3 linked regions of the Daphnia pulex genome follow. The protein of the gene in region 3 interacts with the protein of the main gene of each other region in a pairwise test. Links are inferred from orthologs where the notes say so. Each region holds a gene or a part of one and is shown on either strand. Other genes may lie near its edges. The genes, in order: ubiquitin-conjugating enzyme E2 W-like, ubiquitin-conjugating enzyme E2 N and E3 ubiquitin-protein ligase AMFR-like.

The links.
Region 1: the proteins of E3 ubiquitin-protein ligase AMFR-like (region 3) and ubiquitin-conjugating enzyme E2 W-like interact in a two-hybrid assay, tested with the Homo sapiens proteins (2 studies listed by BioGRID and IntAct). The link is inferred for Daphnia pulex from reciprocal best matches to the Homo sapiens genes AMFR and UBE2W.
Region 2: the proteins of E3 ubiquitin-protein ligase AMFR-like (region 3) and ubiquitin-conjugating enzyme E2 N interact in a two-hybrid assay, tested with the Homo sapiens proteins (2 studies listed by BioGRID and IntAct). The link is inferred for Daphnia pulex from reciprocal best matches to the Homo sapiens genes AMFR and UBE2N.

Annotation. Positions count from the first base shown.
Region 1 is NC_060027.1:2,995,085-3,000,319, reverse strand, and holds ubiquitin-conjugating enzyme E2 W-like, read left to right. Parts: upstream 1-2,301; 5' UTR 2,302-2,838; coding exon 2,839-2,886; intron 2,887-2,953; coding exon 2,954-3,045; intron 3,046-3,122; coding exon 3,123-3,225; intron 3,226-3,298; coding exon 3,299-3,350; intron 3,351-3,429; coding exon 3,430-3,533; intron 3,534-3,601; coding exon 3,602-3,677; intron 3,678-3,755; coding exon 3,756-3,769; 3' UTR 3,770-4,482; downstream 4,483-5,235. UniProt on the Homo sapiens protein: Accepts ubiquitin from the E1 complex and catalyzes its covalent attachment to other proteins.
Region 2 is NC_060019.1:11,512,590-11,516,940, forward strand, and holds ubiquitin-conjugating enzyme E2 N, read left to right. Parts: upstream 1-1,826; 5' UTR 1,827-2,023; coding exon 2,024-2,053; intron 2,054-2,181; coding exon 2,182-2,272; intron 2,273-2,345; coding exon 2,346-2,501; intron 2,502-2,738; coding exon 2,739-2,920; 3' UTR 2,921-3,284; downstream 3,285-4,351. Other genes in the region: protein AAR2 homolog, read right to left, coding at 1-1, 65-239, 328-622, 686-802, 866-981, 1,075-1,241; YY1-associated factor 2-like, read right to left, coding at 3,846-4,062, 4,142-4,294. UniProt on the Homo sapiens protein: The UBE2V1-UBE2N and UBE2V2-UBE2N heterodimers catalyze the synthesis of non-canonical 'Lys-63'-linked polyubiquitin chains. This type of polyubiquitination does not lead to protein degradation by the proteasome.
Region 3 is NC_060017.1:3,097,749-3,102,972, forward strand, and holds E3 ubiquitin-protein ligase AMFR-like, read right to left. Parts: upstream 3,146-5,224; 5' UTR 2,873-3,145; coding exon 2,603-2,872; intron 2,528-2,602; coding exon 2,270-2,527; intron 2,194-2,269; coding exon 1,947-2,193; intron 1,876-1,946; coding exon 1,802-1,875; intron 1,733-1,801; coding exon 1,589-1,732; intron 1,495-1,588; coding exon 1,371-1,494; intron 1,316-1,370; coding exon 1,098-1,315; intron 1,031-1,097; coding exon 692-1,030; 3' UTR 664-691; downstream 1-663. Other genes in the region: tRNA pseudouridine(38/39) synthase-like, read left to right, coding at 66-145. UniProt on the Homo sapiens protein: E3 ubiquitin-protein ligase that mediates the polyubiquitination of lysine and cysteine residues on target proteins, such as CD3D, CYP3A4, CFTR, INSIG1, SOAT2/ACAT2 and APOB for proteasomal degradation.

The sequences.
Region 1 (5,235 bases), on a different chromosome or scaffold from region 3:
AGCACTGTTTGTTATACTTAACTCCATCGCTAGATATTGATAGTAGTGTTTGTAGTTTGACTAATCAAAATTTTTTCAAAATGACTATAACTAAATAACTTCAAATTAATTCTTAGCGTAATATCGATCCTGGGATTTTTTAAAAGAATGCACAGTCGAATTAAATCATTATATTGATGTTGAATCATAATTGCCTCAGAAATTGAATACTCTTATCGTCACGGTATTTTCAGAAGACCGTCGTGAGTTGGGAGTAGTGTTTCATCATTTGCAATGCTATCGGATTCGATCTCGGCACATTTCAGCTATTTTTCTACATGATCATGCCCTAGACGACTGAGCCATGTCATCTGTCGTGCTCGGGGTTAAACAAAAAAATGTACATTTTTATTAATTGTGTTGGAGAATTTTTCATTTGTGACATAATAGAACCGTGTAAGACATCCGCAGTGTATCGGAATGCATTATGCAATCTGGCTAAACAAAAATAAACAAGTGTTTGCAGAAAAATATTAATTGAATTAAGATTTGGGTACCCGCAAAATATCTCCAGTGGCGCAGTTGGTTAGCGCATGGTACTTATACGACAGTAATAAATGCAAAACTAACAATAAATTAAAGATAAAAAGTAATGCCGAGGTCGCGAGTTCAAGCCTCGCCTGGAGAAATTCATTTAGTTAATTTGCGAAATAATTTTAAAAAATGTTGATATTCGTTATCCAAAATGTGTGTATTGCGGTTTATTGATTGGAGCAGTGTTTGTTATACCTAACTCCATCGCTAGATATCGATAATAGTGTTTGTAGTTTGACTAATCAAACCTTTTTCAAAATGACTATAACTTCAAATTAATTCTTAGCGTAATATCGATCCTGAGATTTTTTAAATGAATGTACAGTCGAATTAAATAATTATTTTTATGTTGAATTGAACCTTAATTGCCTCAGAAATTGAATACTCTTATCGTCACGGTATTTTCAGAAGACCGTCGTGAGTTGGAAGTAATTTTTCATCATTTGCAATTCTATCGGATTCGATCTCGGCACATATGAGCTATTTAACTGAAAGCTCATGCCCTACACGATTGAGCCATGTCATCTGTCGTGCTCGGAGATAATCAAGAGAATGTACATTTTTAATTGTGTTGGAAACTTTTTATTTGCGCCATAATAGAAACCGTGTTATAAGACATCCGCAGTGTATCAGAATGCATTATGCAATCTGACTAAACAAAAATGGCAAATGTTTGCAGAAAAATATTAATTGAATTAAGTTTTGGGTCCTCTCAAAACATCTCCAGTGGCGCAGTTGGTTAGCGCATGGTACTTATAGACAGTAATATATGCAAAACTAACATCAAAATAAAGATTGAAAGTAATGCCGAGGTCGCGAGTTCGAGCCTCGCCTGGAGAAAATTATTTAATTAATTTGCGAAATAAATAAAAAAAAATGTTGATACTTCGTTGTTTCCCACTACTGTCGCCGAGACAATGAAGAATCGATCAAACAACGTCGATTCGCTCGACTTGCGTCACTCACACCTATTGCATAATGTGTTACGTCAATATGACACTGCTGTTGTCACTATATCTTGTTAGTCCTTAAAGGATTCGCAACTGCCATAAATATCTCCAACTGAAAACAATACTACCGTTACGCTTTTGTTGTCACTTGTAAAAGATAAGGGCTCCCACCTTTTTAAAAAAACATCAACGTCTCAGTTTTGTTATAATACCATATGTCATCAATCGATAACTTTCTGCCTTAAGGTTATATAGGAGATGTACAGTACCCAGTCCCAATTAGCTGACGCGGGACACAAATTAGACAGTTAGCAGTGACATTGCACGACAAAGGAGGTTAAGGAAGACGCAACTTGGCCCGTTTGCGTAGTTATTGTTTCCGCTCACGAACCACAAAAGTTCAGTGAACGTTGGAATCCCCCAACTTATTGACGTTTGTTTTTTGTCTGCGTGTGAACTGGAAAAGAAAGAAACTCGCTGAATCAGAGATGAAGGGCAATCTTATTTGCGACGTAAAAAGAAATAAACGACGATAAATGTTTATTACAGGCAGTTTCCACGGTCGTTGAACTCGCAACTTCCGCATCTGCTTTCCGCAATTCACAGCGTTCCGCACAACTGCGTCTGCGAAATACCCAGACGTTTTTGGAGGAAGAAAACAAAACATGTCATCACATCACTCGCGTTTCACATGTTCTCCTGCTCAGGTAAATATTAAATAAAAAAATGCTTCAGTTTAATAAGTGTGAACGTATTCAGAATGGCGAAACGTTAAAGAGCCGCCTGCAATTATCTAGTCGTAGTTGGTAGAAAATGAAACTCGAGGAACCTTCGGTTGCCATGTCAGCTTGTCCTTCAATCTCATCATTATTTGGACTTGTCCTTGACATTTTGCTAGTAAAACTTTTCTTTTAAGTAATATTCTTGACTCGGTTTGAGGTTTCGGAAGTCTTTTTAGCGGTAAAAATAGCTATACTGCTCTGGAGATGGTGTGTGTTCTTGAAGCTTGCTAATCGGTTATGGCACAGATTCAACCAACTGCTTCCTTATTCTTCCCAATTGAGTCACCTGAGAAAATGAAACCCTAGAAGAGAGTTCTGACTTATTGGCACATGTCAGTTTGGCACATGTCTGGTGTGGCTTTGCACGGTTCACGTGAAGTGAAACCCTGCAGCGTACTGTCAAACTGGTGACATTTCCTTTCTATAAAAGGAGAAAGCTACATAAGTGGCAAGTTAGTTCTTGGATCGGTGAGTATAGTTTTCGCATTACTTGCTGGTGGTTGTGTCTCACATTATTGGTGCCCACTGCGAATATGAGTGACAAATCCCTGACTCAATCGTGTGTTCTTCAGAGACAAGAGGTTAACCCTGATTGTTGCCGAATAGATCAGTATCTAAATAAAACTCAATTTTTTTTTAATATTACAGAAAAGGCTGCAAAAGGAGCTTGTCTCCTTGATCAAGGAACCTCCTCCTGGTGTTGTGATCGATGGAGAATCTGTGGGCCAGAGCCTGGACTTGTAAGATTGACTTGACATTTTGTTGGACAAGTGCATCACACTTTTTTCACTTTATTTTTTTCAAATCTCACTTCCAGGTTGGTGTTGAGTATTAATGGAGCTCAAGGAACGATTTACGAAGGGGAGCAGTTTCAGTTACAGTTTCGTTTCGGACCAAAGTACCCTTTCGATTCGCCCGAGGTAACACCTTTCAGTCAACGAATTGACCAAAACCAACACGTATGTTTTACTCATTTGAGACCACTCTCTTTAGGTTGTTTTCGTCGGATCGGAGATCCCTGTCCATCCGCACGTCTACAGCAACGGTCTGTCTAGCGTGAAACCCTTAAAAGATGGTCAATAATTTAACCGCGGCTCTTTTCTCCAACCTTTTCGGTTATTCAGGCCACATCTGCCTCAGTATATTGACCGATGACTGGTCACCGGCTCTGTCCATTTTTTCGGTCTGTGTTTCCATTATCTCAATGCTCAGCTCTTGTAAAGAAAAGGTCAGTTTCAATTGTGTGAAAAAGTATCTTTCTCACCCATCACTCATTCACGACTATTGACCCGTTAGAAGAGACCACCGGATGACAGTATGTACGTGAAAACGTGCAGCAAGAACCCAAAGAAAACCAAATGGTGGTACCACGGTGAGTTTGAATGGCTACCGCCTAAACCCGAGTTATTATTAATCTTTTTTAACCATAAATCATTTCCCAATTTGCCAGACGAAGAAGTGTAAAACGGGTTGATATCTCTCCCCCTCGATTCCCGCTACGAAAAGAAAAAGAACCTGTTTCACGCTGGCGATGCTCGCGTCAGAGACAATCTAGTCGCCAAAAAAATACGAAAGAAAACAAAAATGGATTTTCTTTTTTCAGTTGTCAAAATTTTCCACCCTTCCGAATCGATCGCGTTGATTTCCCATTCCCGATATTGACCTACTACTTCCTCGCATAACGAAACAGTTCCTCTCTGTCTTGATTAATATGCGGTTGATACTCTCCAATTTTTGACTTGTAGCAATATTCACGAAAAACTACAGATGTGTAATGTTTCACACTTTTGGCGTTTGATTTTTCGACTTTTAATCGACATCAAATCTACGAAGCCTTTTTCCCCCCTTCTACTGTGTTTTATCTTACCCCCACCCATTCTTTAAATGTTAAACGAAAAATATTTCGCTCGTATAAAATTTGTTTCAACTATTATACTCAAATTCTTTTTCATTTCACGTTTGGAAGACAAAAAAACTAAACGATTTGAATTAGCCAAGTAAATAATGAATTGTATATTTCTGAAATGGTTTCAAAATCAGAGGGTAGTAGGGCGCAAATTTTGTAATCGACTTTTTCTGTTTTATTATCCTTTTCGAGAACATTTTTTGATGTGTGTGTGTGTGTGTCTTGTGTGATGTTTTTGTTTCGAAAGAAATAGAAGAAGAGATTAAAGTTCGTTTCCGACAGCTTTTTTTTAAGACTCCGCTATAACAACAGCAATGAAGGGCGTGACAAAACATACTTTTGGGTAAACGTAGAGATTAATTAAGGTGGGCGACTTGAAAAAAAATGTCATTCGTCAATTAATGATCGTATTATACACACACACACCATGACTCATGTTAATGTTAAAATAGCCAGTCATATGAGGAGTGTATATATAGCGGATATGAGCTGAAGAAAAGGAGAGGAAGAAAGGTTTTTTGACAAACAAATTCTCCTGGGTAATAAAAAGGGAAAGGTTTAAAAAAAAAAAAACAATTTAACTTTTTTTTTTCGTTTTTTCTTTTTTTTTAAATCAATTAATAAAATCAGAAAGGAGGAAATCTAAAATGATTGAGCGCTGCACGGTATTCCGTCGGACGTGTACACACTGAGAAGAAACAAATCCGCCGAGCTATTTTATCCTTTTTTAAAAAATAATAATTACAAAAATCCGAACTGCATTTTTTAAAATTCATTAAGGAGAAACGAAGAAACAATTTTGAAATTGAAATAGAATTACAAAGAGAGAGAGAGAAGAATAAGGAGGGCAGGGGGGGGATTGGTATACATAACAGCTCTGTGCGAGCTCCGGTATAAATAATTGACACGAATTTTCTCTCTCCAACCACACACACACACACGTTTTTCTTTTATTTAAAAACAGACAATCTATAATAATATATTTATATATATTTTTCATGTGTGTGTGGAGGAAGGAAAATTC
Region 2 (4,351 bases), on a different chromosome or scaffold from region 3:
TCTAAAAAACAATATATTTTAATTAATAATTTTAGTTGAAAATTGTGTTTTCTAATGTCATCACCTGAAAATAGATATCCCCAATGAACTCCACAATTAATGATGGATTTTTCAACAGAATCTCATCAGCAAAACAAAAAATACGAATCACGTTCTTCCAGTGTTCAAAAGCACTGTAAACTTGTCCTATCAAAAAACACAAAAACGCCATTTGAAGTTCAGCAAGCATTTGATTGGGTCTAAACAAGAAAATAATTTATTATTAAATACAGCAAACTATTTGGTATTTTTTACGTTCCGAAAAATAAATATTAAAAAAATGCCGACCTTTCCCAAGTTGACAGCATTTGTTCCAGTAAATAAGATGTGTCAATGCTATGTTTAGTGATTTCCATGGCACTTGATCCTACTGGATAGAAATCAACAGGGACTTTGGTAAAATTTAACGCTGTGCCTGGCTTTGGTTGCATGTGCGGTAGTAATTCATCTTCATAATTTGACCTCTTTATTCTTTTTTCTTTCACTGGAGATTCTGCTGGTGCTGGTACATCTTCTGATGAAATTAATTCTGTAACTGATGAAATCTTTTGCTGAAGGGGTTCCACTTTCCCAACTACATCAGCTAAATATTAATTGTTAGACATTTTATTTTTGTACAGATTACATAATGTATAAGAAAATATACTTGTCAATTTACTGCTGAGAGACATCCATTTCTTCCAGGTATCAAATGGATATGGACCCAAGTGCTGATCAAGATTTTTTAAATTGGCTTTTAAACTTTCTCTTTCTTCATCAGTACCTATTATGGATAAACACTAAATAATAAATTAATATTAAATAATGATTTATAAAATAAAATTACAATCGTTGATGACATCTTCTATTTCTGGGTTCCACTTACGGACCACAACTTCCTTCTTATTGAAGTTGTAAAAGAAACCTGTTCTTGGCGCTACGGAACCTTCCTTGCTTACAGAGCTAGAAATTATATAAAAATATACAATCACATTTTGTACCTCACAGTGAATGTTACACTCACACAACTGTTCTAACAAAAAATAACTTATTTGCCTGTAATAAATATAGTGAATTCCAGGGGGTATCATTTTTATGCCTTTGAATTTTTCGCCGGTTCTCCAACTGTTGAAATCTATTCCTACTTCAGTCCCAATTGGTACGCCAAGAAGAAATAAAAACGCGCCCTCTTCAAATAATTTGTTAGCCAATTTTTGATCCATTCTTTCCGTGTTTGACACTTGATGGTTTATATTTTAAAACAGAATGAAGCTGAGTGAATGAAACCACGCAAAAGCAATGAACGAACAATACTAGCAGACGACAGTTTAAAAACAAACAACATGGAGGTCAGACGTCAGATCAGTACCGGATGCCGACTTGCCGAGTTAAATTCTAGCAATTTTGCATAAAAAAAGGGAATAAAATTAACATGAAGAAGGATAGGAGAAGAAAGTGATAAAATAAAAAATTTTATGTGTTGAAGCCTGCCATTCAATCTTAATCATGCCTTATTAGTTAATTTGCCCTTTTTCAATTTATTTCAACTTTCAAGTCGAAATTCTTTCTAGATGATTCATGAAAATAATTAAAATATTCCGCAAACAGAACAGCCAATTAATCTAACCAAAAAATTTTTACTGGTCATTTTCTACGGTTCTGAAATAAAGGTTTAAACTCATTTCCGGCATTTGAAAAGCAATACCTTTTGTTTAGCTTTCTCGTGTATTTCCGTTTGTAAACCAATTCAAATAAACTTTGTTCATTTTAAATAAATCGTCTTAATTTGAAAAATAATATGTTTATATGTCTAATTCTTCCCGTGTGGCCGGGTCGATCTCCTACCGATTTTCGTCACCAAACAATTTGACAACGTCTTAAATTAGCAATAGGGCACTCGTATAGCGTGAAAACTTTCCGTCTTCTCTATTTGGCTTTAAAGTTACCATCTATTATACGAAAATCTTATTTTATACTCGTTGTTTGTTCAACAAATTGATGCGAAATGGCAGGCTTACCTAGAAGGATAATCAAGGTAACACAAATCTTAATTGTAGACTTGCATCAAAGTGGGAGGCAACGTGTTTTTTTCTCCCGATCCTATTATGGGACCGGTAGTATTCTCTAGCAATATAGTATATTCGTCATTAATTTGATCAATAGGAAACTCAACGTTTGATGGCTGAGCCTGTCCCAGGCATTAGTGCAGTTCCAGATGAACAAAATGCTCGTTATTTCCATGTTGTGGTTGCAGGTCTGTAAACTTAAATTGCAACCTTAAAGTGTCATTCTGGTACTGACTAGTTCATATTGATTAAAATTCATAGGTCCAGAAGGTTCTCCATTTGAAGGTGGTGTTTTCAAATTGGAACTATTTTTGCCTGAAGAGTACCCAATGTCTGCACCTAAAGTGCGATTCATGACAAAGATTTATCACCCTAATATTGATAAACTTGGCCGAATTTGTCTTGATATTCTGAAAGGTGATTATTTTTATTACTTTAGTGTTTGCTCTATCAAGATTGTCAAGTGTTATGTGTTCTATGCATGTATAATCTTGTGTTTTGGTTATCAGGGTATACCTGTATTGTTATGACATTTGTGCTTTGAATTTTTAAGTAACTGGGGAAAAAATCAGTTTTAACTTCAGAAAGTTGCATTTGCTTGAAAAACTTAAGTGTGTGGATTTGGCTTTGTTTAATATTTTCTAATATTTTCAGATAAATGGAGTCCAGCTTTGCAAATTCGGACAGTGCTGTTGTCGATTCAAGCTCTATTGAGTGCGCCCAATCCCGATGATCCATTGGCCAATGATGTTGCTGAGTTGTGGAAAGTCAACGAGGTAGAAGCTATTCGTAATGCTCGAGAATGGACCAGAACTTATGCTATGGGAAACATATGAAACCTGGATCTGTGGAAGGAAAAAGAGTAAAATTGTCAATCCGTTACCGAGAAATTGTGTTTGAATTTAGATTATTTTGCTTTCTTTTGTTCCTCGTCCATCAGCCTTTGTCGACTGATTCCCCTCCCTTCAATTGGTTGAACTGTCCCCGATGGTGATCAGCCAAAAAACTACATTTTGCTCGTTCTTATATCCCAATCTTCTTTTGTTTGCTCGTCAAAAGTTCTATCGACGGTTCATTCCAATTCACGCGTCGTTAAAATGATCGTCGATAGCCTACACTTTTTACCGTTTAGTACCACGAGTACCTCAAAAGGATACTAAAGAATAATAAAAATGCCGTCACCCGTGGAAGTCTAGAGTATCAAATTGTACAGCTGTGTATTTACTTGTCGTGGATGAGGAGGGTGAAATTATAAAGACGGATGAGAGCGCACATTTATCACGAAACGAAAACCATCCACTCGACAGACATAATCAATTTTTTACCAAATCTTCCCCGACCTCTTCGCACCGTTCAGATGAGGTAGGTTCAAACCGAAAAAGGGAAGCGAATATTGGTACTGAGATCCGATCAGAAACAGGAATTCCCAACACTCAAAAATAATCTCCAACATTATGGAATTTCGTGGTTACAAAAAAAAAAAAGGGAAAAACTTTGAATCCAGAATAGTTATAGACAACTGCCTCTTGGTTTTTCATGTATAGTTTTCGGTTTGGACGTCTGTCGCTCCAGTTCTATCTCACTGAAATTCGGTTGGGACCAAATTATAGCCTTTATAGATATTTAAAAATTATATACTTCTTGGCAGTTGAGAAAAGATCGGTATGGGGTCAATTGGGTGCGCAAACAAATACAGTTCAAATAAAATACCTCGAGATGCTAAATAATAATAAAAAAATGAATCACGAGCAACGACTTTAGTCAGTCTGAATGTTCTTGATCTGCAGGGGAAAGATCGTTGCCGTGATTGCTGGCACTACTGCTAGAACTACTGGTCGTGTGTCCAGCATCCAGATCAAGGTTACTGGGAGATGTTGACTTGCTGCTAATTTTTGGCCGAAACTCAGTAATGACTACTGTCACATTGTTCACTGTCACTTCTTTGTGCATAGCAGTGCTTCTGTCAACATTTTTCAACCTATTTTAAACAAACAATTAGCAAGTCACACTGAAGGATAGATATCAAATTTTGTTTTAACAATTTTATTAAAACATACCTTGGTCTGGCTTTACTGTTCCTGGTGGGGTTTCCATCTGATGATTTCCTCTCAGATTTATCTCTTTCTTTAGATTCCTTCTCTTTTCTATTTTTGTTAGCTAAGGAAGGATTGAACACTTGAGGTACCAACTGAGGATTGAGCCTTGGTTTCCTGAAAACGTGCAAGTTTTGTCACATCTGTTAAATGTTTAGAAATGGTAATATTGCT
Region 3 (5,224 bases):
TTCACTTGACGTGGTATTAAAATGCCTTAACTTATCACTTCTGTTTTAAAATATACATATTGCAGAAAGTTTGGAAGAGCGTATCCACGTATACGCCAAGCGCCAACGAATAGAAGTAATTGAAACTGACGCCAATTGCCCTTGATGCCTGATCATGTGTTAAAACTGCAATTGTGAATAAAACTTCTGTACCAAGGATCATGCTTTATTTAATTTGAATTTTTAGGGGTTTAAATTGTTGCCATAGCCATATTATACTCGCATAAAACGCTACTTTTGAAAGAAAATCACCTATTCTTGTTCAAGATATTAAGGGAAAGATTTATTAATCTCAGAAGAAAAAAAATGTCACACATTTCCGATTTCGTCCTCTACATGTTTGGTAATCAAATGTTACTATTGATTGCGCATTCACTTCGTCGGTAGTGAATCAGTAAAATCACGTTTGTAGGCCCTGTTTGACAGTGAACGTCTGTGTGATGGGACTAGCTTGCGGCATAGAGAGGGTTTTCTTCCACGCCCAGTCGAGCGAAGCGGTATTTCGTAATTATTAAAAAGGCACTATCTTTCTACTCATAATTTACCTTGCCAATATACAAACAGGTTTTTTGAATTATGAGATGCACTAATGCATAATTTACGCACTTTAGGATCAATAACAAATTAGAATCACACGTGTATAGCAAGAAAATCAACTTTCAATGATAGTGGAATTGTTTTCGAGTGCTTGTCTCTGAAGAAAGCGATTTCGAGCTTCCGCGATTAATTCATGCTTACGACATTGAAGAATGTGTTGTCTTTCTTGCGGATCATCAACAAAGAGCTTCTCTGGTTCCTGGGAAACATCAAATTGGTTTTCTTGCCTGGCGAATGTTGGCAACGTAGATAGACTAGGCTCTTGTTGAAAGCTGGGAAGTGTGGGCAGAAGACGACCCTCTAATATATTCTCAACTGTTAAGTCTACTGAGCGAGTTTGCCGTAGATCTTCAACGATAACAGAAAACGAATAATCGGGAAACAATTGAAGTACCTACAACGATAAACATTTAAATTGTTGAACAAGAATTAGTAGAATTTTATGATAGATTTCGTCACACCTGATCAGCTAAAGCTTCCAATTGAGAGTTTTCTGCAGCTGCTACTACCGGAGTATCAGTGTTTTGTTGAAACAGTCGACTCCAGCCCGTCCACGATATAAAACTTGCAGTTTCCCGGGGACGTGAAGACGAAGCAGTTTCTTTCGATCCATCTTCTAAAAGTTGGCGTCGACACGTAGGGCACGTAGGATCCTGTTCCAACCAGTGCAACAGACAACCTATACAAGTATAGATAGATGAAGGATTGCCTCATTAATTGTTATGAATCAATACCATGATGAAAATGATGACCACACGGCAACCGTCTGGCTACAGCTGCTGCTTCCCAGCAAATGGCACATTTGTTATCCTCCCATTCAGATTCGAGTTCGAAATGGAGTGTTTCCAAGGGACAGCACTATTATAACAGAATAAATTACTAAATGATTAAAACTAGAGACTTGGCAGAAGAAGGGGAGATTAAGATATTTTAGATCGACTCGAGTACAAACCAATTCCACCAATTTCAGCAACCGTTTGTAGTTCCCGTGTCGCCGGAGACGTCCACACAGCTGTTCGTAGAGCACTCGCAGTTGCATGAAAATGACCAAAGATGCCATAGAGAGCAGCATATTCGCTCGCAGAAGCATGTGAATCTAAACGAAAAGAGACAAAAAAGGGGTTACCGAAATTCAGTCGCATTGCAGAAAGCAATTTCGTCTCACATGATGTGCCAAATCCACAACGAGGCATGAAATCTCCACCGCCAATTCCACGTAGTACGACGAAGGACTCCACCCTATGATCCAACAATCGTCAGATGTTTGAGCACATCGAGAGTCTCTGTTGCGAATGCGCAACTCAAGTAACCTTGAGAGATCTGATGGATGGGCGGATGACAAGACTGCAGGTAGAGGATGTATCTAAAGATAACGTGGGTGGTACGTAAAGCCAAGAGAAGACATTCCGGGGCGACCAAGGCAAATGTAATCCATCCAGCGCGTTGTCCAACGGCGAGGCAAATCAAAAATAATAATCCCGATGCCACCAGAATCGATCCCAGCAGGGTAAGCAAGCGGATGTGTCGATTTCGAGGGGTACATGGAGTCATAGATAACTATAATTTCGCCAAACATAAGATAAATTACAATACCTGTTTGAGCTTTTAAAAAAGAAAGATAAAATCCAATTACATATTCAAATCTGTCTTGGCAAAGTTGAGCATGAATGTGTAGAAAGCCAATAACAGAAAACCAGGACCCCCATAATATAACACCTTCCATACTTTGAACATTTTTAATGCCAAATATAAAAATAAATTTGTAAAACACAAAATTCCAAAACTTGTCTTTGATGTGCTGTAGTTCAGAAACTCTTAGTTCCCCAAACACCTGCTTCTGCAGCCAATTTCCAAATAATACAAGGAGGCAGTAAGCCATGTTCACAACAATCTGTAAAGGATAGAAGATAAAAAAGGATTAAAGTGTTGGATATTGACTAATAATATAGGATGGCCATGTTCTAACCCAAATGCAGAGACTGTCATGGATAGAAAATGACACAATATCTTGAGCTCTGGAGCTGAGCCAGTAACGAGACAGGATGTTTGAAATAAATGCTTGCAAGGAGTTGGGAATCTCTTGGCTGCTATTCGTTTTAACAAATTGCATCCTCCATTCAGGGTTTTGTGTTTTTTCTGCAGCGTAGTGAAGAGACAAACCCAAAAGAGAAACACTGACTACCGCGTAAGCTTCCAAACTCGGGAGAGGTAGTCTCTCAAGTAGTAAGACAGGCATGTTGTTGTTGTTGACACAGAAAAATTGGGTTCACAAGACGACAAAACTACTAACAAATCTGGGGTGAAAATTGCATTTGAAAACATCAGCAGAAATAACTAGGATTAGCTAGCACAGCAATTCAAGGCAATTTCATCTTGATAACACTGCGTTATCTAACGACCATTTCGATAACAAGTGCCTTGTCAAATGATTCAATAATCCGAAAATGTGTCAAAACTCTGATAAGGCGGGTAAGGCTAAACAGCATCTAGTACACGTAAACACTGCAAACGGAATGAAAAAAAATTACTGACGTTTTGGGCGTCAACCTCAAAAAGTTCCAGCAAACTATTTTCTAGCAAGGTCAAAAATATGCAAAAATTACAAGGCAGATTTCGTCTCGCTATCCCCAGGGGAAAAAATGTATTCAATGTCAACTTTGCATACATGTTCTCAAATGTAGATGTAGACTGAATTGCGCTCTCGGAGACTCGGACAGTCAAGCTAATAAATATTCAATTATTCATTACGCATGTGATGCTGGGACTGGGCTGAATCTGTTTTTAGATCGACGAATACTGGTTTGTTATTAAAAATGAAAAAGATACGTCACAAGTCTGAGTAGATTTTATTGTTTTTACTCAGAAACAACTTCAATAAGATCCCTTAATAATTTTCTGAGATATATTCGCTAAATATTCCGCAACATTCTCCCGCACCAAAAATGCTCAGTTTTATGGCACTGCCCTAAGACACGCATAAGAGTACTCAATTACGCTAATCTAAATTGCACTCCCGAATCAACCTTGAAAAGAAAATGTATTCACTATTATTATTTCTGCTTTGATGGCAACGCGTGATGGAAGACAGAAAAAAGGGAGAAACATCAGAAATAAAACGTTGTCTAGCTGCATGTCTAGCCGATTTTATCGTCTTGTTGGGCGGTTATGAAAAAAGTAGCGTGTCATTTCGTACCAGATGGGGACCGGAAGAAGGTGTCCTTGCACACACACGGCACTGTTATAACGCCTGATTTGCGTCCTCAACATTCGTTACAATAGGGCGTCAGCTCTGCAAAGTAACTGAACCGTTAAATTCTGTAAATGTTCACATTCGAGACAATTTGAATCCACTACATACCAAAGTCTTATCGCGTACCTCCTGATGGTCACGACAGGTCAAGGTTTCCATTTGAAATTTGCGCCCTGTTTCGCTTTTATCCGATGTAGTGGTAATCCTTCAATATAAATAAATGAAGCAACAATAACTTTGCGAAAACAAGGGATGGCTAAGTAATTGAAGTGACTTTTGAAGTTCATTTCATTTTCTCTTTCTCTGCACTTTAAAGAGAATCTTTTTTTTTTTTTCATTTTGGCTCTATTCCAATTTCTTATACTGTAGCGTTTTACAACACGCATTTCACAAGCAGTTAACATTTATGTTTATCATGTTAGTGTTAAGTTGTTATTTGCGAGGTTATTTGGTTGAGCCAAATTTGGATTATTGGAATTCAACAAGATATGTTTGCGGAAAACGCCGCTATACAGCTCCCAGCATTAAATGGGTAATATAGCTTCAAAGCCGAATTCTGGCTATCATTCCAATTATTTTTCAGACGAATTAAGACCTATTCTTCGTAGACGACCTTCCAACCTGTCAAGTAAAGAAATATGGAATTCTTTTCTTTTGATTAAAATTCTATTTTATAAGTTGTATTTCTTAAAAGACTGTTTATTTATTATTCCATGAGCGAGAGCAGTCTAAATGTGTGCGTCCATTAAAAACGGGTTAGTTATTGGAGCAGGCCCGCGTCAGCAATTGTTCACGAGTCGGTTGCATGTGACTTTGAAGAAGCCATAAATTTCGTCGCGTTGGAGACGCGAAACAAGACCAAACGACAATCACGCTGGGGTTTTCCATATTAAAGAAACTTGTTCGTTTCCTTTAATTGGATGGATCACTCTTTCGTGTTATTATCAAACTTGTGCAAAACATTATCGTCGATTATTCTTCGTATTTAAGAAATTCCAATGCCCTTCGAAGGTAATTTTTTTAAATTATTATCCGGACTAATGATGATGACACGAGAAATAATTATCAAAATAAAGAAAATTCAACGAACTTCTTTTTTTTTTTCAAAAATAAAAGATGCATCTTTTTTAAAATACTGCAGCTTAGTCGAATACGTTGCGGCGTAGATGCCGACGCGAAGGCCAACACGTAAATATAGAATTCACCTTTAGGCCATTGAACAACCGATCTATTATTTTGAAATATTCCTATCCCTGGATGTTAAATTTCTTGATTCTTGGAAACGTTCACGTGATTCCAGTAAACGTGAACGCCAAAGGTCTGATCGCTTTTCAATTT